Linked DNA regions of Daphnia pulex. The protein of the gene in region 3 binds, or shares a complex with, the protein of the main gene of each other region. Links are inferred from orthologs where the notes say so. Each region holds a gene or a part of one and is shown on either strand. Other genes may lie near its edges. The genes, in order: general transcription factor IIF subunit 1-like; DNA-directed RNA polymerases I and III subunit RPAC1-like; DNA-directed RNA polymerases I, II, and III subunit RPABC2-like; RNA polymerase I-specific transcription initiation factor RRN3-like; general transcription and DNA repair factor IIH helicase subunit XPB-like.

Region 1 (5,100 bases), on a different chromosome or scaffold from region 3:
AACTAAATTTGTCAATACCAATGATGGACCTCACTTTATATATCTATGTCCACAAGTTGATGAACTCTTGATTTCTGTCACATATGATATTCAAAGAAGGTTTGCATGTTATGATAAAATTTGTGCTGAAACTAAAGTATCCAATTCTTAGTATTGAGACAATGGTCATGAATAAGACTGTATCATTTGGATTTGCTCCATCCTGGAAAGCTGCTGCAAATTATATGAAAGAAGCTGCTAATGTAGGTTACTTTATGTTTGTAGTTTTTGATACACTTTTAATGTTTATTTTCCGAGTCCAGAAATTCTCCGTCGAAAGTGTCGCCGAATATTCCGCCGATTATCAGAAAGATATTGAATTCTTGATTGAAAACGCGAAAAGGGCTTGCACAGACGACGAAGCAGACATGTCAAAGCGACTTCAAGTTTTCTCTCTATAGTATTCTGAACGAATATCCAGCACCTTGCTCACCACCAAGAAATGTTAACTTGTCAGTTCAATGGCTGTTTTTCATCTAAAAATGTGAAGTGTTTCCAATAACAGATAACTTGTTGAAATAATACCAAAACTTACAACTGCAAATTTGTTTAATCGTTCCGAAAATCACGCATTTTAACAACCGTTCTAGTCCGTTTTTATAAACCGTAAAGGGAAGGCCTGAGATAATTTCAGTAAAGTAGCAATAGTGATTGCAGCACAAACAGAACACACCAATCATCGTTATTGTCGCTAAGCCTTAATCGACAAATACATCTTCCCTTTAATTGTCTGCTTCACGGGGTTGATCTTCTTCAAAATTTGTGCAATGTGATGGACAAGCTGGTCCGACGACAAACCAGTTTTCTTGCTTTTGAACTTCTGAAGCAATTCGGTCGTTGTCATTGGCTTGCGGGATAAATAACGTCTAACAGACTCTTCATTGACTCCTTCATTGGCACTGTAAAAGAAAAAATATACATAACGTTTCAGGATTAATTTTAGTTCATTATTTATAAATACCTAGATGATGATGCAGCTGAAGCGGCAGAGGCAGCTGAAGCAGCGGATGCCATGTCCAATCGAGGTTTCTTTGTTGCTTGGCCAGTAAGAGCATCGGACACTGCAGGTGTTCCCTTTCGCTTGCTATCTGATAGCGTTGTTTTAGGCGGCGATGTTTCAGGTTTCGTCGGAGTAGCTGATCTAGAACTGTTGGCACTCCCCCTAGAAATAGTTTGTCAGTTAACTGTCAGGAAACCAAATTACTGCACTTACGGTTTCATTTTTGGGCTCGGTTTAGCTTTCTCCAGTTCGGATGCTGAGCTCTCGGCACCGCTGTCGCTTGACGATCCTGATAAATGTTTCGTTATTATTTGACTCAAACACACGATGTTTTTAAATGGATATTACCATAATCCTCGTTGCGGGGCTTTTTATCCTTGTTCTTCTTTTTTTCTTTCTTCTTCTTTTTGTCGCCTTTTTCGTCTTTGGAAGCCTTATCACCTTGCTGGTCTTCGGCACCTTCAGCATCTTCCTCTTCTTTGTCTTTGTCTTCTTCTTCCTCCTTTTCTTCGTCTTCATCTTCTTCGTCCGAGTTAAGCAACTTGCGGAGAGCATCCTCTTCGGCAACACCCTTTAGTCCGTCCTTTGCTTCTTCTTTCTCGAAATCACTAGATTAAAGAACAACGCGGGTGTGTTAGAAAATCGACAAATGCATCAAGATTAATGACATACCTTTCGTCATCGTCGGAAGAGGAAATGTAATCCAACTCTCTGCCTTCACCATCACCATCATCGCTATCTTCGATAGCTTCATCATCGGACGCATTCTTTCGCTTCTTCTTCGGCTTAACAGGTTTCTTGCCTTTCTTCTTCTTTTTCTTACTTTCTCCATCATCGTCGTCGTTATCATCATTGCCGTCGCTAGAATCGTCATCGGAAGATGCCATCATATCGTCCAATTCATCACCAAAACGAGAATCTGAATGCAAAAGTTGTTATAATTTTGTGACATTATTTATGGTGGAACTTTTGCTTGTTGCCTACCTTTAGCTCCCTTCTTTTTCTTGCCTTTCTTTCCTTTGCCTTCACCTTCTTCCTCGCCCTCTTCTTCGGCGTCTTCATCGTCTTTCCTTAGTCTCTTTCTCATCATGACATTGAACATGTTGTATGTTTTGTTCCTCATGTTGTACCCTTCCTCTGCTTCTTCAATACTCAGTGGTTTGTAATTTTGAACTGCTTGAAAACTGTATTGTTCTTGCACAGGAAAGGCATCAAACACACCATCTGGTGCTTGCGTAAAAACGTAGTACGATGCATTTTCATTAATGCCACCATCTCTTACTCCTGTTTAATAAAATAAATATAATTGCACATTACTAAACTTTCTTATTGCTATCTTAGCTTGGTTTCCAACTTTAGTATACCTCTGAACTTTTTCCCACTTTTTCCCCCATGTTGTAAAATCCAAGGCTGGTTTTCAGGATTATACTTTTTGCTTATTATGCCATACTTCTTCCGTCTAGCTTCCTCACGAGCCTCTCTGCCATATTCACTCCCAGCACCAAACTTTGGCATATCTTCATTGAACCCTTTGAATGTGACTTGGTTGTTTTCCCTTTCCATTTTTGGATCTTTCCATTGTACAAAGTCAATACCCATTGAGCCATTGAATCTCATGATGGCAAGCTTTTTGTTTATGTTCCTGTGACAACATTATAAACTCGGTTTAAGAAGGCAAAAATCTAGATGGTAATGTCTGATATTCTTACTTGGGGACTCGAATGTCAATAGTCTGAACATTAGAAGCAGCAGCGGCAGGAGCTGATCCACCAGCAGCTGGAGTCTAATGTAACACATATTATTATGTTGAACTAATTAATTAAAAACCAAAATGTCTTTACCCTGGTAGCAGCAGGAGTTGATCCACCAGTAGGAGTCTTGAGAAACACATGTATTAATATTGAATTAACTGATTGAGAAGACAAAAAAATTGTACCTTGTTAACAGCAGACATTATGATGTGACGGTGAAAAACGATTGACAAAACAACTTCTCACCGGCGACACAATGATCGAGACACACCACCGATGTGTTCGTCACAAGTTCGTCACGAATGGTAAATAACTAACCCAACTATGCACGTTACTAAATTATAGGCCAAAATTAAGGGGTGGTGATCGAAATTTCTATGCCAAAAAATATTGGGACACTTTAAACAGCGCCAACGAATTTTATACCCGACCCGATACTGAAGAAAAATAGTCGACGACGACCCAGTTCAGTTTTCGTCTGCTTCAGTTCTTTTCTTTTCACGTCGAGACTGCACTGTCGACTTCCCGCCTTGAACCACATGATAAATTGTGAAAGGCTATTTCTCACTTACCTTATTAAAATATCCAAAAATGGCCAATCAAAAAGTTTTTTTATAAAGAGGTCTAAATTGTTAAGTAATATTACAAGTAAAGTAAATGATTATTCATTTTTCAACTATTGAAGTTCGTTAGTTCCAATTTTGGTCGCCATGGAATTAGATTACCTATCTATTCTCAACTGCCTAATTCGTTTTTCGTCATTTATTTTCTTTCTGTTGTGGAAAGCGTTCGTCATGGTGTTATCGTTCTCTGGGAGAAAAATATATGGAATAGTTTACCATGCATTTGTTGTGTACAGGAAAAGATTCCTGAATGTTGTTCCTAAGAAACCAGCTCTAGTTTCAAGAAACATTGGTAAGTTGCCTAATTTTTGAATTCATGTAACAAAAACAATCAATAACTTGTTAATCTGCAGGATGGATGCTGGGTTTGTTACCTGCAGTCTCTGCTAGTGTAAAAGTTGATGAAGAAAGAGAAAATAAGACCAATCTTATTTCTGAAGCTGATGTCTTGTACAATGAGCATTCCTACACCAAATTGAGAAGTCTTCTGTTGCCCTACAAGGTAATAAGAATAAACTGATTTGTCAGTCTCTGTTTTAATGTTGGAAAAACTTTTTTTAGGCCGAAGATAATGCCGAAATTCTTTGGCGACTGGCACGAGCGACGTATGAAGTAGCGAAATTATCGTCCAGTCCAATTGAACAAAAAGAATTAGATTTTGAAGCATACGGTTATGTTGAAGGGGCGCTGCTCATTGATCCGGAAAACTTTGCTGCTCACAAGTGGATGTTTATTTTGTTAGATAAAAAGGCGTCCTACGAGGGCTTAAAGGAGCGCATTTCTCAATCGTTTGTCGTCAAGAAACACATAGAAAGAGCGTGTGAACTCAACCCAAAGGATGCAACTTCATTTCATTTGCTAGGCTACTGGTATGACAAGATAACAACTTTTCTTTTGTATGTAACGTAACACATTTTCGTGCAACTTTAGGTGCTTTTCTGTTGCTGAATTGCCGTGGCTTCAGAGGCAAATTGCCTCAACCTTGTTTGCTACACCGCCCGTATCTTCTTACGAAGAGGCACTGCAGTATTTCCTAAGAGCGGAAGAAGTTGAGCCGAATTTTTACAGGTACGGCTTGGTTTAATTTTTCATTTTTCTAAATAATTGTGCATTTTGAATGGTTTCGTTTCAGTACGAATTTATTGATGCTGGGGAAAACATATTTGCGGCTCAACAATAAAGAAAAAGCTATCGCTTATTTGACCAGAGCTCGAGATTATGCTATCGCCTCGTCAGAAGATTTGGAGGTGACATATAACGCATTAACCTTTTCTACATTTTATTGTTTGATAAAAATGGTTTTACATTGATATCATAGGCCAAACACGAGGCAGTCAAGCTATTAAATTCCATCAGATAGGCCGCTGGCTCCAAGGACGCTCGAGGATATTTACCCATATCCTTCCACATAAAGAAAAATGTATGCGCCTCTTCTGTTTACCTTGAAATTTAATCAAAAATGTTTGTTTTTTTATTATTAAATGATTTCCTTGTGTGTGTGTTATCGGTACAACATGCAATAGTGCAACAGTTTCCCAAATTTCCCCGTGCGTGTTTACGAATACAAAGTTCATTCACTTGTTCTCGATAGGTCCGATAGGTAGCGTTGCGTGTCACCACAGCCCGAAATGTGCCGAGCTAGAATCCCCGCCAGCCATATGAAGGGAAAGGATACGACGTATGTGTT
Region 2 (4,872 bases), on a different chromosome or scaffold from region 3:
AGAGACTCAACCGAGATCCACTTCCTTCTTCTTCTTTTGTCTTCGCGTCAGGAGCACTCACGTATACACACACACACACAATCACATTAAAACGCATCTTCTATTGTTCCCATTACGAGATATCCTCCTATCTTTTGCATTTTCTAATAACTTGGCTCCTAAAACTTGACGCTGCACGAAAGACGGCCTAATATCTTCACTCGTTTTTAGTTGGCGACGTTCTAGTTTTGTCATCACAGCAAAAAACAAAAATTTTTTTTTGTTGTTTTTGGTTTGGCTGTGAAGCAAAAAATGAACGAAGAAAAGAAAACAGTTGAGGGGATTTCAACCGCCCCAATAATGGGAGACTTACCGGCATATAGTTGCTACGCAGGGATGACGTGTAGGCCGACGATGATGAACCGCCATAGGAGCTACCGTAGGAGCCACCATATCCTCGTTGACTGGAGTAGTAGCCTGCCATTGCGTAATCGTCTTCTCCGGATCCGAAGAATGAAAATAGGAAACGATAGGGGTTCAAAACCGAAATAAAAATGAATAGACAATCATAGGCATAAATTTATATGAGGCATTCTCTTACCCAATTTCTGTTGTCCAGCCAAGTCCAAATGAGAAAAAAGATCTCCCTAATTAACAACTTCACGATCGGCCCAGATGGGGGAAAGGGGTCTTTTGATTGAGGGAGACGGTTTTTCTTTCGTCCGGCCACCAAGCAGAGTGCGTCGTCGACTGTACTTGTAGTGAACGTGGAGATGGAAAGCGACCCGAGTGCTCTACGTCCGAAACAAAACTCTTCCACAAGCTCGCAAGCTTCCACAAGCTTCCACGAGCACTAAATTTAGATGCCACGGTCAATGAGAAATAGACTTAAGAGAAAGAGAGAAAAGAAAATAGGAAGAAGAAGAAGGGAAAGAGAAAGGGAGAGGAGATAAAAAACAAAACAGAATACACTTCTTGTTCTTCTTCCCATTTCCTTCATCTCATCTGCCTAGACTTTCTTGGCACCACCTACGCATATTCCACAATGGGCTAAAACGAATTGGCGGTGTAAACAAAATGTGAGAAGGAAGGAAGAAGAACATTAGAAGGAGGAACATCTCGGTTCACATCCAAAACAATCAAAACCTTAGGATCCAAGGTCAATAAGAGGCTACTACAGCTTATCTAGCAAGTCTAGCGCCAACGTTTCGTAAAACCAGTAGCGAAACAAACAGAAGCCATTGTTGCAGAAGGCAAATAAAAATAGCGATGGAAAGGAACATATGAAAAAGGATAGGTATCCTTCCGTAAAACCAGGAAGAATTAGTTGCTCGCCTCCACCCCTCAAATTTTTTAAATAAGTCTTCCCTTCCTTCCGTTTGAAAAGCTCCGGTTTCGGTTTCTAAATGCAGTTCTGGGTCACTCGGCTGGAATCCTGGGTGATAACTATATCAACGGCACAAACGCCTCCAGGTGAACTAATAATGCGTAATCGTCATGAATCAACGCGTCTATTTAGGATACCATTCCTACAGTCCATTCTTCAATTCATCCAAAAATACACGGCATTTTTGTGACAGGATCTTGGCGGCTTCAGTGAAGAGGACCTCCGGCGCCAGTGCTCCAGTAGACTCGATGTAAACTAAACACATTTTCAAATGCATCGCTAAAGTAAGGAATAAGCAAAAATCCAATAACAATACTTACAGATGAAATGGTCGCGTGCTCGGGTCAGCTTTACAGTGTCCTCTTTTAGATCTTCGTGACGGAATACGTTGCGGCTGCAGATGTCATATCGGGCATCGTTGACTTTGGCAACCTTCTTTTCACCTGAAATAGAATAAAAAGGTAGTGCTTCACACTAATTAAGCTAGAAGAAAAAATATAGTATGTAGCAAACCTGAGTCGACCAAATCAATAACCCCAGGGGAAAAGCACTTTTGTAATCTTTGGGCAGCTTCACCTTCCACTTCCTTAAGAAGTTTCACTTGTGGTAGGAGACGGTAAAATGCGGTAGCTTGAGAAAATAGAAAAATAGTTTTTGTTTAAATCTCGGTCCAAAAATTCTTAATCATAAAAAAAAACAATAAAACTAACCAACGGGTGAGAATTTTGCATGTTCTCGTCCGGTCCCTTTCATTGCGTGCAATTTGATGTCAAGTTCGTGACCAGGTCTCATTTTTGCGATTAGAATGTTATCGTCAACTGGTCCAACTGCATCAGGGGTAAAGATATCTTTTTGGCCACCCAGTGGAATCCATTTCAAATGAGATGTCAAAACTGAAAAAAGTAGGTCAGCATTCTGTCGAAAAAAAAAGGTTTGAGTTTCCCTTCTTACCTCTGAAATCCCTGTACAAGTGTTCAGGATTTGTATGATCTTTAGTCCTTTGAGGATTCCACGAACATTTCACTTTTAACTCAAATTCAAGTGTATCTTCAGGAGTCCCAGTATCATCATCTAAAATGAGAGATGGGGTAACAAAGATTCAGTTATATGAAGTAAGGTGACAAAGAAAAGAATGGGTGTTTGGAGTATACCTTCAGCTCTGAATTCAAACAATCTTGGGTCAGCTTTCAATGGTATCAGTCCCAGTCTGTGGGCCAAGACTTCATCTTGGATGATTGAGGTATTGTTGAACATGAAGACTTTGTCGAAGGCCATGGTGGGAATATCAGACAGCAAAATACGACGAAAAGCATTTGGTATGGCTGGATCAACACCAATCAAATCAAACTCCATTTCCATATTTTCCATGCGGACAATGTTAATTTTGAGCCTCTACAAAATCAGAAAAAATGGTAATGCTCTCTTTTTATCTACTTATAGTGTAGAACTTTTCTTAGAAGAACCTTTTTGAACTTTTCAAAACTCCAACTGTCGTCAAACCCATGATGATTTCCTGGGAAGTCTGTGGCTTCAGCCTAAATAGTTATTTTTATTATTAAATTTGGTTGAACTTAGGAAGATTTCTGTTATGTAGTATTACATTAAGAACTTCGAATTCTGTCAGCACGAGTTCATTCCTACTTTCATCAATGTATTCCTTGCTTGATGAATATTTAACTTTACTTTTACTCATTTTTCCGTTGAGCTTTAACACGTGTCTGGACGAGGGAAAAATTGGCAAATAATGACTATTGTGAAAAGTGTCGTCTGCTTTTATTTATTTTTAAAATTTACTGCAAGATGTCGCCACCGTCTCGCCACCGTCTCTCAGTTTAATTCAGTTCAAATCGAAACCGCTTTTCTAGAAAACAAACGGACATATATTATAGGGTAAAGGTAAATAATAAGAAATTAAATATTATTTTGATAGCCAATAAACACCCTCCTCTCAAAAAAAGAAAATCCTATTTCCAATAGTATTTCAAGGAATTTGTTGAGTTTTTATATTTCTATTTTTTCTGAGGCAAATAACACATACACGTTAGACACAGTAACTGTACACGATATAAACAGTTAGCTTGGATGTTAGCGCGATACTTACGGTATAAGCTGAAGTATATTCGGCGTATCAAACAGTCCGAACTAAACTAATACGTCAGCATTTTACAGACATGTAATGTATGGGTAAATTATTTCTTTCGGAGGAGAGAGAATAAATGGGGCATTTATCCTGAGACTGAACCATCTATGAAAAAAAAAATGTATTCGTCTTTGTCATTTATTTAATTTTTTGTCTTATTCTTTGAAAGAATGTATTTGGACATGACAGCAATTCGTGAATTGATTTTGCTGTTATCGTCGCTTGAAGCTGAAGCCCTTGGTGTTCTACGTCTCGAATACGACTCCGGTTCTGCTGTTGCCTGCGGGATCGGTCCTCGATCAGATTTTCCTGTAATTAAGAAGTTCATTTGCAGGTAACAAAAAAAATTACAATTGGTAGAGGATGTGGTTTACCTGCTGCGTCTTTTTCCAAATCCGAATCCTTGTTAGTGGAACGGCTAGACAAGTACATTGAGTAGCGCTTATCGTAGACGGGCGGATCGTAAGATGAAGAGTCGACCGGCTTTATCGACGACGGCCTGGCATACGAGCTGCTGTAGCTAGGACTGTAGCTATCAGAGCTGTAACTTGAGCTTCTCTTCTCGTAATCCTTATCATCGTTCAGATAGCTCGAAAAGAAACGAGACAAACTATTGATATTCATTAAATACCATCTGGTTCATTTGCGTGAAAATTTGATTTGTTCGTTACCGAGTAGAGGGTTGGGTGTTGGTCTTCGTGGCGAAGCGATTGAGCACTGACGAAGTCGCCTCACGCAATTTGCGTAAATCTTCTTCGATATCCTGAAAGTGAGCTAATGGTTTGTTAATTGATCAAACAAAAATGTAGTCAACTTATAGAATCAAAACTTAGAACCCAACGGTAATTTCTAATAATTTGAGCTTATTCTATCAGCTATAGAATAAAACTATTTTTAAGATATGCTACGCTATGCAAAATACGTGGGTGGTTCACAAAGCGCTCAAATAAATTTACCTCTAGTTTCATGACGGGTTCTCCGTTAGCATCATCATCCAAACACGAAGCGGCACTGTAGCGCGCCCTGGTCGTGGTACCGGTAGTCTTGACGGGTGCAATGTCGTCATCACTATCCAAGTACGACGCACGAGTGTGGCGCGAACGAACCGGGATTTTGACAGGTTCAAATTCTTCGTCGTCATCATCCAATTTCGAAGCTCGATTACGACGGGGTCTGTCTTTCTGAGTATTGACAGGTTCAATGTCTTCATCATCGTCTTCATCACATTCAAGTCTATCTCGTAGATATCCGTCTCTCTCTCGAGCAAACATCGATTGCGGAAAATGATTCGCAACTCTCGGGACGGCTCCTCGGCAACCCGGTGCCTGAAATACAAACAAGAAGAAGTAATTGAAATTTTTTTTTT
Region 3 (3,392 bases):
TTTATGAATTAGACAAAAGGTGAGATAGGCCTACATCGACGTCTATCTGGGGGTTCACGATCACACGGCAGAGTCGGAAGGCAACCGGAAATTGTATTCCAATAGCGAAACCTTCATCCATCGTGCCTGGAATCCTGCCACCGATGCAGGAGACATTGCTCTCATCAAACTCAAAAGCGCCGTCAAATATTCACGTATCATTAATTCGTGTTCTTTAATTTAAAATTATAATTAAATTTAAGATTTTGTACAGAGTACATCCGCCCAGTGTGTCTGTCAATTTCCGGTATCGACGAACCTGATTACGTCAACGAAATGGTTACCGTCACGAGATGGGGTACAACTTACGACGGTATTCCGTTCAACATACGACGACGAGAGAATCCAAAATAAAAGTTAAATGTTTCAAAAATTCAGGTAGTCCACGTATAAGCCCAGTGTTACATAAGATGACGGTCCGGCTCATCTCCAATAACGACTGCAGGACAACTTATGGCGACAACATCCAAGGAGGACATTATGTGCACCAGTGATGGCGCCAACAACATGGGAACTTGCATAGTAAGTGAACGCATAATCATCCTAGTGAATTTACTTTTAAAATGTATGCAAATATGGCAGGGCGATAGTGGCGGATCGATGAATTACAAACAGATGGACGGCAGGTGGAAACAGATCGGGATCATATCGTTCGGTTCGACTGAGGGATGCCAAAAGAAAAGGGTCATCCAAACGGTTACAACAGACTGAGCTCTTATTCTTCATTTCAACGTAGATCCGGGATATTATTGAATCAACTTCCGGCACTCATTGAACATCCGCCTTTTTATCGACACCCCTTATGCTCGTTTCAATCGTATTCGTGATTAGCCTTTCGACGGCGTGGTTCTAACGACTCATTTGAATGCCCTCCCAGGGCTCCCACCTACTAATGTACATTACTATATCGTTTATTCATTTAGTTTGTAATAACAAGTCTCAAAACAAGGTGAATCATTAAACGCAACATTTTCTAATCGAATCCAGAATTTGAAAATCTCAGTCATTTTAACAGTCCGGCAGTTGTAATAATTAGATACCAGCGTAAGCATTTACGTGCGAGCATGTACGACGGCGACATAATCAGCACGCAAATTGCTGTAAAACATTACATCTTTTACAAGTTGGAAAAAAACATTTAACTTCACCGGAAATCCCAAGTAGGATCTCTTGCCCTCGTCCTCCTAACGGCCACCGGTTTACTTTCGCCTCTGATGAGATCGACCCTCTGCAACCGTTCGACAACTTAATATCCCAGCTATTTAATACACATTTGGACTGTCCTACACTGTCGACGAAGCAACGATGTGCTGACATTTTCCATTTTAAATTACTGTTTTCTTATACCCTGTTACAAATGGATGCATTTTAGTATTTTACCATGAATCGTCCATTCGAGATCCAACCATAAAGTATCCACAGTCCACACGTATAGTCGTATACTTTATGAATCGACATTTGAATCAAGAAAGGGACGCAAGGCCACCTGGTGAACGAACGCCGAAGTTGACTCGGCCGACAACTCGACAAAGCGGTGGCGGTTGACTAGGGCACCATCGTCTGCACGCTGTAGCAAATGCAAATCTCTTAAATTTGACTGGAAATCTCGTGGTCTTGTTAACTTACTCAGTTTTCACTTTTCACTGTGATTATCTTACCCTTTAAACAATAATGGCAGACGATGACTTTGAGAACGACGAGTAAGTTAATAGTTAGTTGGAGTTTTTCTTCTTTTCTTAATCACATGTACAACATGTTGAATTTCTGTTATTTAGTGGCGACGATTTTGAAGATGCTGAAGACGATGATAACATGGATGAAATGGAACAGCCAGACGATGATGCACAAATTGATCTACTTCAGCAAGGTGAAGGTGGAGCTGGCCAACTGCAAACCAAGCGCATTACAACACCTTACATGACAAAGTATGTAACACTTGAAAGATGCATAGCTCATGAAAGACTATAAACAAGTCTTACATTTTTAGGTATGAAAGGGCACGGGTGTTAGGGACCAGAGCATTACAAATAGCAATGTGTGCACCAGTCATGGTTGAATTGGAAGGCGAAACAGATCCCCTGCAAATTGCAATGAAAGAATTGAAGCAGAAGAAAATTCCTATAATCATTCGCCGCTATCTTCCTGATGGAAGTTATGAAGATTGGGGAATAGACGAACTTGTAATCAATGACTGAGTCCAACATACAATAATACACTAAGATGTCTTTTTAATTGTACTTTGTAATTCTTTCACCATTTGTCTCCCATTGATGAGAAGTCCCTTGATTGTTTCCTTCAAAATAAAATTCTGTGAAATAAATTCCAAATGAAAACAAACTAATTAATACTTCATTAGTGTGAGATCGGTGTGTTTCAAAGTCACTCCTAGCCCACTTGATGATTTCGTCTTTTTGATGCCTATCTACTTTTCTAGCTGTGCGTAGAACTTGATGAACAAAACACTTGTTTAATAGTTATCAGAACTATGTACCCTAATATTAAGTAATCAATTACCTTCTCTGTATAAATTCAAAACCTCTTGCCTAAGCATGAACTGAGAGAGAATAATTTTTTATCAGAAGCTCTGCAATGTGATATGTTAATGCTATAAATATGGAATTACCTGCTTAAGAGTGAGCACTTTTTTAGGAATTCTTGAAATGGTAGACATAGTTATTTGTGGGTAAATTCAGATTACTAAAACCAGTTGAAAGTGTTTTGATTACTGAAGTGATTTATTCTAGGAGTCTATTATCAATATCATCTCACGATCTATTGACAATATTCATTAATGGTTAATTCTACGATACCCTTCAGAAAAATAACTATTTTTATTTCCATCTCAAACAAATGAGCGACGAATTCCGCCCGCCATCTCTTAAGGAAAATTACCATTACAATATTTAGAGAAATAAAGCTTGAACGAAAATATTGGATACGCAAATTTATTGTCTGTGGACAACGTATAAAACAGTCAGAAAAATTATCGAGAAAATTGCCGTTTGTCGCTTGGTTTCTGTCCAACTTGACGATATGTGCTTGCTTTTGTACGGTGCTTAGTTCCTCCATGGGTCTCCCCGAAGTTCCCTTGGCGTTTGCGAGGGCGGTCAGCTTTAGTACTACGCATGTCTACAAAGTAAAATGTATGAGTCAAATTTTGTGAAATCTGAAATGTCAAGGCCAACAGATAAGATTAAACATACTAAGGTCTACTGTCGGTGGAACTTTGAAACCAAAACTTTGGGCCACTCTAGCCAGGTCGAGTGTATGAACGTCGAAGATTGTTTTCAAATGATGAGAATCATAAGCACGAATGTAGGCTTTGTAAGCTTCTTTTGCTGACATATGGAGGA
Region 4 (4,905 bases), on a different chromosome or scaffold from region 3:
GAGGTAGTCGGTCACTTTTGAGGGAGCTTGATAGCAAGAATCTTCTGTAAAATCAATAGTCTTATCTAATAATTCGCCCGAGCGACTAGCGTTGAAGCGTTCTCGCAAACGCCAATCAATCTCTTCCAACATAGAGTCCTGAACGATCAGGTAAAGACCACAGCTGTTGAAGCTACTCGTCTTCAAAGCGGTAAGTGCGGCATCTACAGCGGCATCGCAATCACCTGTTTCCAACACCACGACTGCTTTTTTCCCGTCGAGATCTTGTTTGGCATTAAAAAAAAACAGGATTAGTTAAAATTATTTAAAATCTCACGGCACAAAGTTACCCAATTTGAGATTCGAAGCTCCATCGCGCAATGCGAGCGCTTGATCATAGCTACCGCAAACAATAATATCGATGCCCTCTGAAGAAGTGATTCCTTTCAACCTTTCAGAACTTCCGGCATACACGCTGCAGTCCAATCCCACTTTGTTTAAAAATTCCCCCATTAAAAGGCATGGAATTGCTAGAAGATCATTTTCAGGGACCAATACAATTGGCCTAAAGTCAAAAGGTAATTCAGTATTTTCGTTTATCAATAAGATAAAGGGCTAACTTATGCTTACATTCCTCTCGAAACGAGTGGTGCGATTGCACGCGACACAGACAGCACTGGATTAGATGAACCCACAATTACAACAGCAATATTGTTCCCAATCTTTGAAAAAAAAACCAATAAACTTTAGTAGAAAAAATTTAGTAATGCAACTGATAATGAATTTAATACTTGAGTAACAGGACATGACTCTAGCTGATCAGCATAATAGGTCCAATAACTTGCAGCTGGAACAATTTCATGTTGGATGCAGTAGCGTAGAGGTTTGCCAAAAGTGGTTGAAAGAGCCAAACCAAGAAGTTTTTGATATTCAGGTTGACTTAATAACATCCCAAGTCTTTAGAAATAATTGGTGATTACAAATACAGAAATAACACATTTAGACAAACATATGATACTCAGTCATTTTGGCAGATGTTTCTAGCCATTGGATGTGTGACCATTTTCTTTGTCTGTCTTGCTTGAGAGCTCTCACAAATTCTTCAAAGTCACCATCAACACGTTTCATAATGGAAACATTCTTGGCCAACTCTTGATGAACAGAGCTAATCATGAGGAACTTGCCCCAATTGGTCCCTTCTCCTTGGCTAGCAGGGACACTTAAAGGTGAAGTGGCAACCCAATTCTGTCATTTAAATAAATTGATGATATGAAACTATGAAGAAATTACATCGATTGTTTTACTTTAAAATCGCGGTCGACCTCCATGCTGCTTTTTCCGTAATTAAGCGTAGCTCCTTTTACAGCTTCAAGAATGTTGACCATCTCAGGATGAGTGTTTAGCTCTAATATTTCTTCCTGTAAAAGTTCAGCAAACGAATGTTATATGGAATGTTTGAGATAATTTATGGATACACTTAAAGATAATTCGATCGTACGCTTTATTACGGAAATTACGTTGTCACTTGCCAGCTGTTTGTCTCTGTCAAAACAAGTTGAAATATCGTGCGTGAATACAGCTGTCACATCTTACCTGAGTCATTATGGCAAAACAACTTTAACCACAACTTTCGTTTTCATTTTGGCTTCGAGTTAAAAAAAAATCCTAATAATAAAATTTATAAAATGTTGCTCGTTTTCGATGTTTGGAACTATTATTTTAAATTTATAAATGTATTAAATCGTAAAGAAATTTGACAACGCTGTAGGCTAATAGTATCATCGCACTAGCAGACTGATAAAAAATCAGCGCGAGCAGTGAGAGCTACATTGATGAGACAACGTGGTCTTGGCCGTTTTTTTTCAGTTTTAGTGATTGCAAAGATCACAAGCACAGAGCTCATCACTATAGTAAAATCAGAAATCGTTAAGAGTTCGAGAACCAAGTAGTTTTATTTTTTATTATTGTATTAAGTAAAAGAAACGATAGCCATGGCGAGTACGAATTGCTCCCAGTTGACTCCCATACCACAGTCCATATTGAAACCCAGTTCGCGAATCAGTATGCAACCCAAGAAACTTTCCCAGCCTTTGCAGGTCCGATTTGACTCCTTGGTCACAATTGACGTGGTTTCAATTTTGAAGGATTATATCGAAGGGCGAAGCGAAGTGAAATATCACCAATTATTGAATCTGAAAAATGATCCTAATGTCAATGTAAGTAATTTGGGGAAAAAACTGGACGTAGGATTACAAGATTACGAACTAAGAATTTTTTTATTTTTAGGATGGATTTTTACTCCTGATTCTTCAACAAGTAAACAGCTCTATCAGTCTGCTGACTCCAAAAGTTGATTCCTTTGTTGATGCATTGCTGCATATTTCATGGACAACAAGACAGCCCCCAGTACTTGATGAATATTTGACATTTCTCCAAACACTAGTTTCAGCACACACATTCTACTGTAGATCAGTAGTCAAAATGCTAGTCTCACATCTGACACTTAATTCAGACTGTGAAAAATCTACATCGAATGTGCATCTAGTTTTGAGGGGAATTTTGCAGCTGATACCATTGTAAGAGCCCTGTAATTATTTGTTTCCAGGATCAAGAAAATAATGTTTTTGTATTGACAGGTCTCAAAGTATTATTTGGGATTCTTTAAATAATGGTTTTCCCTACATTGGATCAAGCAGTTGCAATCAAGTAAACTACATCAGAAATCTTCTACATTTTGTTGAATACCATGAAATGTCTGGACCCCGTGTTTTACATCTCATCATTGGAAGGTATGTCAGTCTTTAATTCATTTATTTTAATTAACTAATTGAATAATTTTTGTATAGAATCATTAAATTGGACAGCAGAGTTTCAAGAGAGGACTTGCTACAAAAATTCAATCAGCCTATGGAGTTTGATGAGGATACAGTCTTGAATCAAGCTTCTGAAACGTTAGACGAAATCATGAAAGTTATGTTTGAGTTGTGTCATCGCAAATGTCATAGCGAATGGATTGTTCATCGGAATTTTTATCAGGACATGTACGCTACGTTCGAATCTTTGATACTACCGGCCGCCGGTATCCATCATGTCCATTACTTGATGTTCTACATATGTAGTACCAAAACTGCTCTCTATGAAGCTTTTACTGAGCGCTTGTGGGTCATTTTTCTTACCCCTTCATCTCAGTTGAATATTCGAAAATCGTGTGCCGATTACCTTGCTTCGTTTTTGGGGAGAGCCTCTTTTGTACCCATGAAGTACGTTCACATTTGTGATAATAAGACCAATCAAACCAAACATTAACTCGTGATTTCTCTAAAGGTACGTCATTGACTGTCTGGATCGAGTGTGTCAGTGGATTCACGCATACCTCGATCGGCAATCAAAGGGTGAGGGAGCAGCTGTTTTTAAAATCCGAGCCCATGCAGCATTCTATGCCGCTTGTCATATTCCCTTCTACGTTTTGGCTGCTAGGCATCGAGATATTGTCAACGACAGAAAGCGTACGATGATCGTTCTTTCTTATTGTTGGAATTCAATTAACCTTTTGATCATTTTTGCAGTTCTCGCCCGATTGCAAGCCCTGGATTTGAACCGAATTGTCAACTCACCTTTGAACCCACTACGCTATTGTCACGCTACAACTGTCAGACAATTCGCAGAATCCGCTTCACATCTGCAGGTTGTACCACTATCAATCAAGTTGATTTGTAACGTAATTAACCGAAATTCTCGTTTAGATTGTATTCTGTCACACCATCATGATTCGTAATCAGAGGGTTTGTATACCTGAAGCTACAACTGACACATTTGTCATGGATACAGAATATCCATTCGAGAAATACCTCTTGCCCTCATCGATGGACTTTGTGTCACCTCTTGTTATTGACAAACCTATCGGTCGTGACGATTCACTCTACGACAGCGATCAGGTTATGGAGGAGCTTTTGTCTGAATCACCAAGAGTTGGCGGCTTTATGCACCACTTCATGGGTTGATTTCATCGATATTGTCGTTGGTAAAATCTAAAATTTACCCCATTTTCCCTGTTTCTTTATTTTCTGCAATTCTCTACATCTTTATTACCATATGACCGTCTTTTCCCATTCGTGTCGGTTAAATTATGTATATTAACGTGGTATATATTCACTCGATCGTGCCTATTTGTTGGAAGACCGTTGAAATTAACATTTTTTCCTTTTGGGTCTTGGTCTACGGATTAATCATCCGTTACGCTATTCACAACTTCGGGAGCTGATCACTGCTGCGGTTTTTCTTCGTAAGAACATTATTTTTCCTTTTTCTATACTCGATCGTATTGGGCGGCTTGGGACGTACGTTGAAATTCTCCTTTGATTCGTGGGCTTGTTAAATTTCTTTTTGTCTACTCTCCCGATTACCGCAATGTTATTTGCTCTCCCCTTCGATTTCGCCGTTTCCTATTCAACTTACAAAGATGTTGTCGCCAGCGTGTAATGAAAATTAAAGTTTTCGTGTAATTCATTTGAAAAAAAAAATTGCCACTTAAAAACCAGTTCCCTTTAGTGAGAATAAAATTCAAGTGAAGCGTGTCGGTTGCATTTGGGAATATAAAAATCGTATAATTCTGTTTTCATCAAACACCTATTTATACATCAGTTGAAAGAAAGAATAAACTTTGGTAGGTGAAGAGGCGGGTAAAGGCACTGCAATTCAATGCGCACATTATGGGTTTTGGCGCATATTTTTTTTAAACACCAACAGGGGACTACCAAACAAACATGCAGGCATGCTGAAAAAGACGAATGGTGACATGTACACTAGCGCCAAGCGGTCGTGACACCCATCATTCTTCTGATTTTACATCACGGTGCTGCAGGTAATAAACTTCAATACTACATTCATTCACTTTATTCGTAATTATAATGTTTGGAAACTCGTGAT
Region 5 (4,259 bases), on a different chromosome or scaffold from region 3:
TCACACACCTGTCACCAGACACCAAAAAAAAGTGAGAAATAAAAAGTATTAAACCAGTTTCTGTATTTATTCAACATGAATTTTGAGATATAGTAATCACATTTTATGACTTGGAAAATCTTTACTTGGTGCGGTATTTCTTGAAAAGGGGGTGTTTGGATAAATTATTTGAAGCTGATGGGCGTTTATATTCCATATAAACTGCGTCATCGGCACCGCTCATTGATGCCATGGTTCCAACGCGTCGTCCAAATGGACCAGGCCGACCTCCAATTTCTCCGGGTACACGCTCTTCATCTGCATCAATATCCGATGCTGTCAGAACCATTTGTAGCAGGTTGGCTTGCTCTTCCTTGCTCTTGTAGTTCAATTCCTGGTCTTGATCCATGCCCGCCATGCGAGTGATGACTTTATAGCTGTATCCTTGATTAACCAAGAATCGCTGACGTTTACGAGAGAAGCTCATTTCCAATGTATCTTGCGATACCAGCGTGTAGAAGAACGCATTGTACTCCTCCGCAATGGCACCTTTCTTGGCTCGAAGAATACGCCCCAAACGTTGAGCTTCTTGACGACGAGAGCCACCGTGCGAGGATATTTGAATAAGCACGTTGGCATCAGGCAAATCGAAGGAAGTATCAGCCACCTTACTGACGAAAATTGTGTTCACCTTCGGATTCAGTTTGAAATTTTGTAGAATTTGAAGCCTTTCGTTCTGAGATGTTGGACCGTAAATGAATGGCTTATTCATGGTAAGCGCATAGTGCTTAAGAGCATACACATTATCCGAAAAAACGATGATTTTGTCATTACGTCGCTCGTGGTAGCGAATAAGAAACTGACAGGCTCTAAACTTGTTAGGATTCATTACGAAGAGAAGCATTTTCTTTGCGGATTTACAGGCCAGATACTCGCGATAGAATTCTGGGCTCATAGGACACCATACTTCAGCGCATTGTACTCGAGCAATGAATCCACGTTTTTGCAGCTCCAACCAATTAGCCTCGTACAGCTTTGGTCCGATCAAAAAATTCAAGTCTGCAATCTTGTCTGTAAGATAAAGAAAATCGTTGATCAGACAAATAAATACATTACAGGTAAAAATAATCAAATACCATCTTCGCGGACGAGAGTAGCTGTCAAACCAAGCTTGCAATGGGCTTGAACAATGGTCAAAACACGACGAAACATGCGAGCTGGAATAGTGTGCACCTCGTCCAACACCATAATACCCCATTCCTGCTCCTGGAGCCACTTCATCGTTTGATCTGCCTCATACGAACGTTTTTGCTGATGTGTTATCATGTTAAAGGTTGTGATCATGATGCTGCATCCATGAGGCTTATCCTTTGCATCAGATGTAAAACGACAGATCATACCTGAAATGAAAAAAAAAAAAAAAACATTTATTTATCAAGTAAAGATAAAAACATATTAACAACTTCTTACTATCGTCAGCAGTAGACCACATCTTAAACTGGGCTTTCCACTGCTCGACTGAAACTCCAGAATTGCACAGAACTAAAGCTCTTTTTCGAACTGTACAACAGGCTGTCACACCAACCAAACTTTTACCAGCTCCACAAGGCAAAACAATGAGCCCAGAGCGAGCACGACCATTGCCAAACATTTTTCGCAGGCTTTTTTCCTGGTAAGGCCGCAATACAGCTGCAGGTCTCAAATCAATGTTTATGTCCTGATTATGAGTGTCGTTACGAAAATCATATTCCGCTAACAAAGGGTATTCTAGCTGAATACATCGCTTTTGAATGACTTCAATTTTTTCTTGATTTACTTCAAATGCAACCGTTTGAAGAGAAGAATCATCTTCGTCGTCCTCATCCTTGTCCATTTTGTCGTAAAAATTCGATATGTCATCAGGCACTTGCTTTCCTTCTTCTCCTGGTTCCTCTCCTGAAGTACCAGGTTTTCCAAATTGAATAGACGTTGCTTTTGATTGAACTTGAGTGATCAGTCCATCTGTTGAAGATTCCACGCTGTGACGAAGTCTGCATTCTTGAATTACAGGATCTTTCAACAATTTTTGGATGACATCTGGATATTGAGACTCAACAAAATAGCGATTGTGCTTCAACACTAATTTGACTTTGCCGTAAGAGAGTGTTGAGATCTTTATGAAGTCTACAATTCCATCAGGGACAGCAGTTTTGCTTAAGCGCTTTAAATACTCTATGATGTCATGAGTTTGCAGCCCGACACTGACGGCAGCATACAATGAGTAAGAAGTCAACTTGTACTCATGTATGTGTTCTGGACGACAAACTGGTTCACTTATTGCAATCAGAAAGTCGTGAGCGTGTTTGTAGACTGGTGAGAATGACTCCAGGAAGATGTGGCCATTGGGAGCAACCCACAATGGTCTAGACATGTGGTCTGGTTTAAGCTGCAAGTCTCGATAATCTTTGGCTCCATATTCATCTTCCCCTTGCCTTTCACCTTCAACTTCAATGAAGTGCTTTGCCGCTTCTGGCACACCCTCAGCTTCATTTCCATCCGGTATGCCTTCATCATAAGCACTCTCATCTTCAAAATCCTTTCGTTTTTTACCAGCAAATTTTTTCTTGGACGCGTCATAACGATCTCCATCTTTTTTCCCGTATTTACGGCTCCCCCCAGCCATATTAAACAGAGGAATAACCGTGAATTATTCTATGAATACTGCTGGAAAATTCTAAACAAATTTAACTTTCTCGGTAAAGTGATTGAATGATGAACTTTGGACGAACACTGAAGTGAAGACTGAACACTGACAGTGAAAACTCAGCTGAGAGAGAGCAACAACACAAAAATAAATCGCCTGAAGCAGAAGCATGGTTCGGGCACACATAGCACACCTAGCGGAAAATCAAGAACGAGAATTATATTTTGTACTTCTTGATCGTTTCGAGTAAATTTATACTTTGAAAACTTATTTCTAACTTCTAAATTAAATGAATTATTTTCCTATATTCAAGCAATCAACGGAGATCATAATAGCAGATGTTTATGCATATATTAAACACCAGAGGCGCACTCGGTACGTCTTACATGCCTTCTTTCCTTGAACGTGATCGTCTGCTTGATATTTTGGCTTTGGTTTGGCAAGTGGCATTTCGCTAACTGCCATCGGAAATAAGAAAAGCAATTCAAATAATTCAATCAAATACATCCAGTTATTATTCTTTCGGATTTCGATCCTGACTTAAGTACTCCTCACCTTGCAATAATGCCCATCTTCAAGTTAAACTAAACTCTACGAGAACTTTCCTGTTGGACGAAGATGAATCCACTAACGTAAGTACTACATAGCTTTTGCATCATTCATAAACTCATAATCTTGTATCAATATTATTTGTGAGAAATTTTCGATTTATGGCTAACTTAAAAAGTATGTTAACACATAGTGAGGGTAAATATAATAAAACTTATCGAAGGTTTTGTGTGGGGGTGTTGTAATGTAGGGACTGGACAACATAAATATAGTTTGGAATCATGTTATCTGCTGGTGCTGCGTAGAACGAAGCATATTATATGCTACCTTATTAGACTAGAATATATTATAAGTTCATTATTAATATGGCTATTTCCTTTTTCTTAGGAATGTGAAGAATATCAAGAAACTCAGCGAGACTGAACTGAAGTACAACATATCAGGAAAAGCTTCATGGCATTATCAATACAAAGACAGTGCTTGGATTTTCATTGGAGGATTGCCTTATGAATTGTCTGAGGGGGACATCATCTGCATTTTTTCTCAGTATGGTTAATACTTAAGTGATGTTTATTATTGCTATTAATAGTTAAAATTTTTTTTTAAGGTATGGAGAGGTTGCAAACATCAATTTAGTACGAGACAAGGTTACAGGCAAGTCTAAAGGCTTTTGTTTTTTATGTTACGAAGATCAAAGATCAACAATTCTTGCAGTTGACAATTTAAATAGCATCAAGGTAAAAATAACATTTTTTGGGTTGTCAGGCATTTCATTATTACAAAATATGTTTTCTAAGGTCTGTGGGAGAACTCTGCGTGTCGACCACGTTGAGCAGTATAAAATTCCAAAAGATCCTGACAAGCTTGATGAAGATGCACTGAGGATTCTCCAAGAAGGGTGTGGACCTGAATCGTCAATTATAAAAACTCTTGTGAATTCCGTTCAAGAAAATCCCGCAGCATCAGTGACTGCTGCAGTGTCTGAAGGGAAAATTCCAAAAGAAGAAAAAGATACAGAATCCACCAGTAAACCAAAGCACAGAGAGGA

Evidence for each region.
Region 1: DNA-directed RNA polymerases I, II, and III subunit RPABC2-like (region 3) and general transcription factor IIF subunit 1-like share a complex: the UniProt entries of both Homo sapiens proteins name them as parts of the TBP-based Pol II pre-initiation complex. The link is inferred for Daphnia pulex from reciprocal best matches to the Homo sapiens genes POLR2F and GTF2F1.
Region 2: DNA-directed RNA polymerases I, II, and III subunit RPABC2-like (region 3) and DNA-directed RNA polymerases I and III subunit RPAC1-like share a complex: the UniProt entries of both Homo sapiens proteins name them as parts of the pol I pre-initiation complex. The link is inferred for Daphnia pulex from reciprocal best matches to the Homo sapiens genes POLR2F and POLR1C.
Region 4: DNA-directed RNA polymerases I, II, and III subunit RPABC2-like (region 3) and RNA polymerase I-specific transcription initiation factor RRN3-like share a complex: the UniProt entries of both Homo sapiens proteins name them as parts of the pol I pre-initiation complex. The link is inferred for Daphnia pulex from reciprocal best matches to the Homo sapiens genes POLR2F and RRN3.
Region 5: DNA-directed RNA polymerases I, II, and III subunit RPABC2-like (region 3) and general transcription and DNA repair factor IIH helicase subunit XPB-like share a complex: the UniProt entries of both Homo sapiens proteins name them as parts of the TBP-based Pol II pre-initiation complex. The link is inferred for Daphnia pulex from reciprocal best matches to the Homo sapiens genes POLR2F and ERCC3.

What each region holds. Positions count from the first base shown.
Region 1 is NC_060018.1:349,894-354,993, forward strand, and holds general transcription factor IIF subunit 1-like, read right to left. Parts: upstream 3,303-5,100; 5' UTR 2,994-3,302; coding exon 2,976-2,993; intron 2,917-2,975; coding exon 2,881-2,916; intron 2,823-2,880; coding exon 2,749-2,822; intron 2,682-2,748; coding exon 2,404-2,681; intron 2,324-2,403; coding exon 2,024-2,323; intron 1,959-2,023; coding exon 1,712-1,958; intron 1,648-1,711; coding exon 1,388-1,647; intron 1,329-1,387; coding exon 1,253-1,328; intron 1,202-1,252; coding exon 1,001-1,201; intron 939-1,000; coding exon 731-938; 3' UTR 571-730; downstream 1-570. Other genes in the region: uncharacterized protein LOC124188758, read left to right, coding at 1-99, 152-242, 303-440; regulator of microtubule dynamics protein 1-like, read left to right, coding at 3,330-3,412, 3,476-3,705, 3,767-3,915, 3,975-4,282, 4,344-4,481, 4,546-4,660, 4,732-4,773. UniProt on the Homo sapiens protein: TFIIF is a general transcription initiation factor that binds to RNA polymerase II and helps to recruit it to the initiation complex in collaboration with TFIIB. It promotes transcription elongation.
Region 2 is NC_060020.1:1,789,882-1,794,753, forward strand, and holds DNA-directed RNA polymerases I and III subunit RPAC1-like, read right to left. Parts: upstream 3,124-4,872; 5' UTR 3,060-3,123; coding exon 2,967-3,059; intron 2,902-2,966; coding exon 2,830-2,901; intron 2,759-2,829; coding exon 2,518-2,758; intron 2,438-2,517; coding exon 2,318-2,437; intron 2,260-2,317; coding exon 2,077-2,259; intron 1,997-2,076; coding exon 1,880-1,996; intron 1,810-1,879; coding exon 1,687-1,809; intron 1,622-1,686; coding exon 1,509-1,621; 3' UTR 1,504-1,508; exon of another isoform or gene 1,475-1,503; intron 1,426-1,474; 3' UTR 591-1,425; downstream 1-590. Other genes in the region: sodium/potassium/calcium exchanger 1-like, read right to left, coding at 353-463; uncharacterized protein LOC124192222, read right to left, coding at 3,649-3,815, 3,881-4,116, 4,178-4,269, 4,463-4,831. UniProt on the Homo sapiens protein: DNA-dependent RNA polymerase catalyzes the transcription of DNA into RNA using the four ribonucleoside triphosphates as substrates.
Region 3 is NC_060023.1:6,841,050-6,844,441, forward strand, and holds DNA-directed RNA polymerases I, II, and III subunit RPABC2-like, read left to right. Parts: upstream 1-1,552; 5' UTR 1,553-1,710; coding exon 1,711-1,739; intron 1,740-1,814; coding exon 1,815-1,964; intron 1,965-2,026; coding exon 2,027-2,234; 3' UTR 2,235-2,254; coding exon of another isoform or gene 2,255-2,332; 3' UTR 2,333-2,376; downstream 2,377-3,392. Other genes in the region: chymotrypsin BII-like, read left to right, coding at 29-194, 254-352, 418-533; LYR motif-containing protein 2-like, read right to left, coding at 2,255-2,332, 2,388-2,485, 2,554-2,593, 2,663-2,710; ATP-dependent RNA helicase DDX18-like, read right to left, coding at 3,023-3,168, 3,243-3,392. UniProt on the Homo sapiens protein: DNA-dependent RNA polymerase catalyzes the transcription of DNA into RNA using the four ribonucleoside triphosphates as substrates.
Region 4 is NC_060026.1:14,529,740-14,534,644, reverse strand, and holds RNA polymerase I-specific transcription initiation factor RRN3-like, read left to right. Parts: upstream 1-1,748; 5' UTR 1,749-1,970; coding exon 1,971-2,195; intron 2,196-2,265; coding exon 2,266-2,555; intron 2,556-2,615; coding exon 2,616-2,768; intron 2,769-2,825; coding exon 2,826-3,239; intron 3,240-3,303; coding exon 3,304-3,485; intron 3,486-3,545; coding exon 3,546-3,664; intron 3,665-3,722; coding exon 3,723-3,980; 3' UTR 3,981-4,553; downstream 4,554-4,905. Other genes in the region: uncharacterized protein LOC124203933, read right to left, coding at 1-263, 330-544, 610-701, 771-936, 998-1,224, 1,284-1,364; protein piccolo-like, read right to left, coding at 4,872-4,905. UniProt on the Homo sapiens protein: Required for efficient transcription initiation by RNA polymerase I (Pol I). Required for the formation of the competent pre-initiation complex (PIC).
Region 5 is NC_060020.1:5,844,609-5,848,867, reverse strand, and holds general transcription and DNA repair factor IIH helicase subunit XPB-like, read right to left. Parts: upstream 2,801-4,259; 5' UTR 2,642-2,800; coding exon 1,450-2,641; intron 1,380-1,449; coding exon 1,116-1,379; intron 1,051-1,115; coding exon 122-1,050; 3' UTR 47-121; downstream 1-46. Other genes in the region: RNA-binding motif protein, X-linked 2-like, read left to right, coding at 3,281-3,294, 3,599-3,757, 3,819-3,948, 4,009-4,259. UniProt on the Homo sapiens protein: ATP-dependent 3'-5' DNA helicase/translocase. Binds dsDNA rather than ssDNA, unzipping it in a translocase rather than classical helicase activity. Component of the general transcription and DNA repair factor IIH (TFIIH) core complex.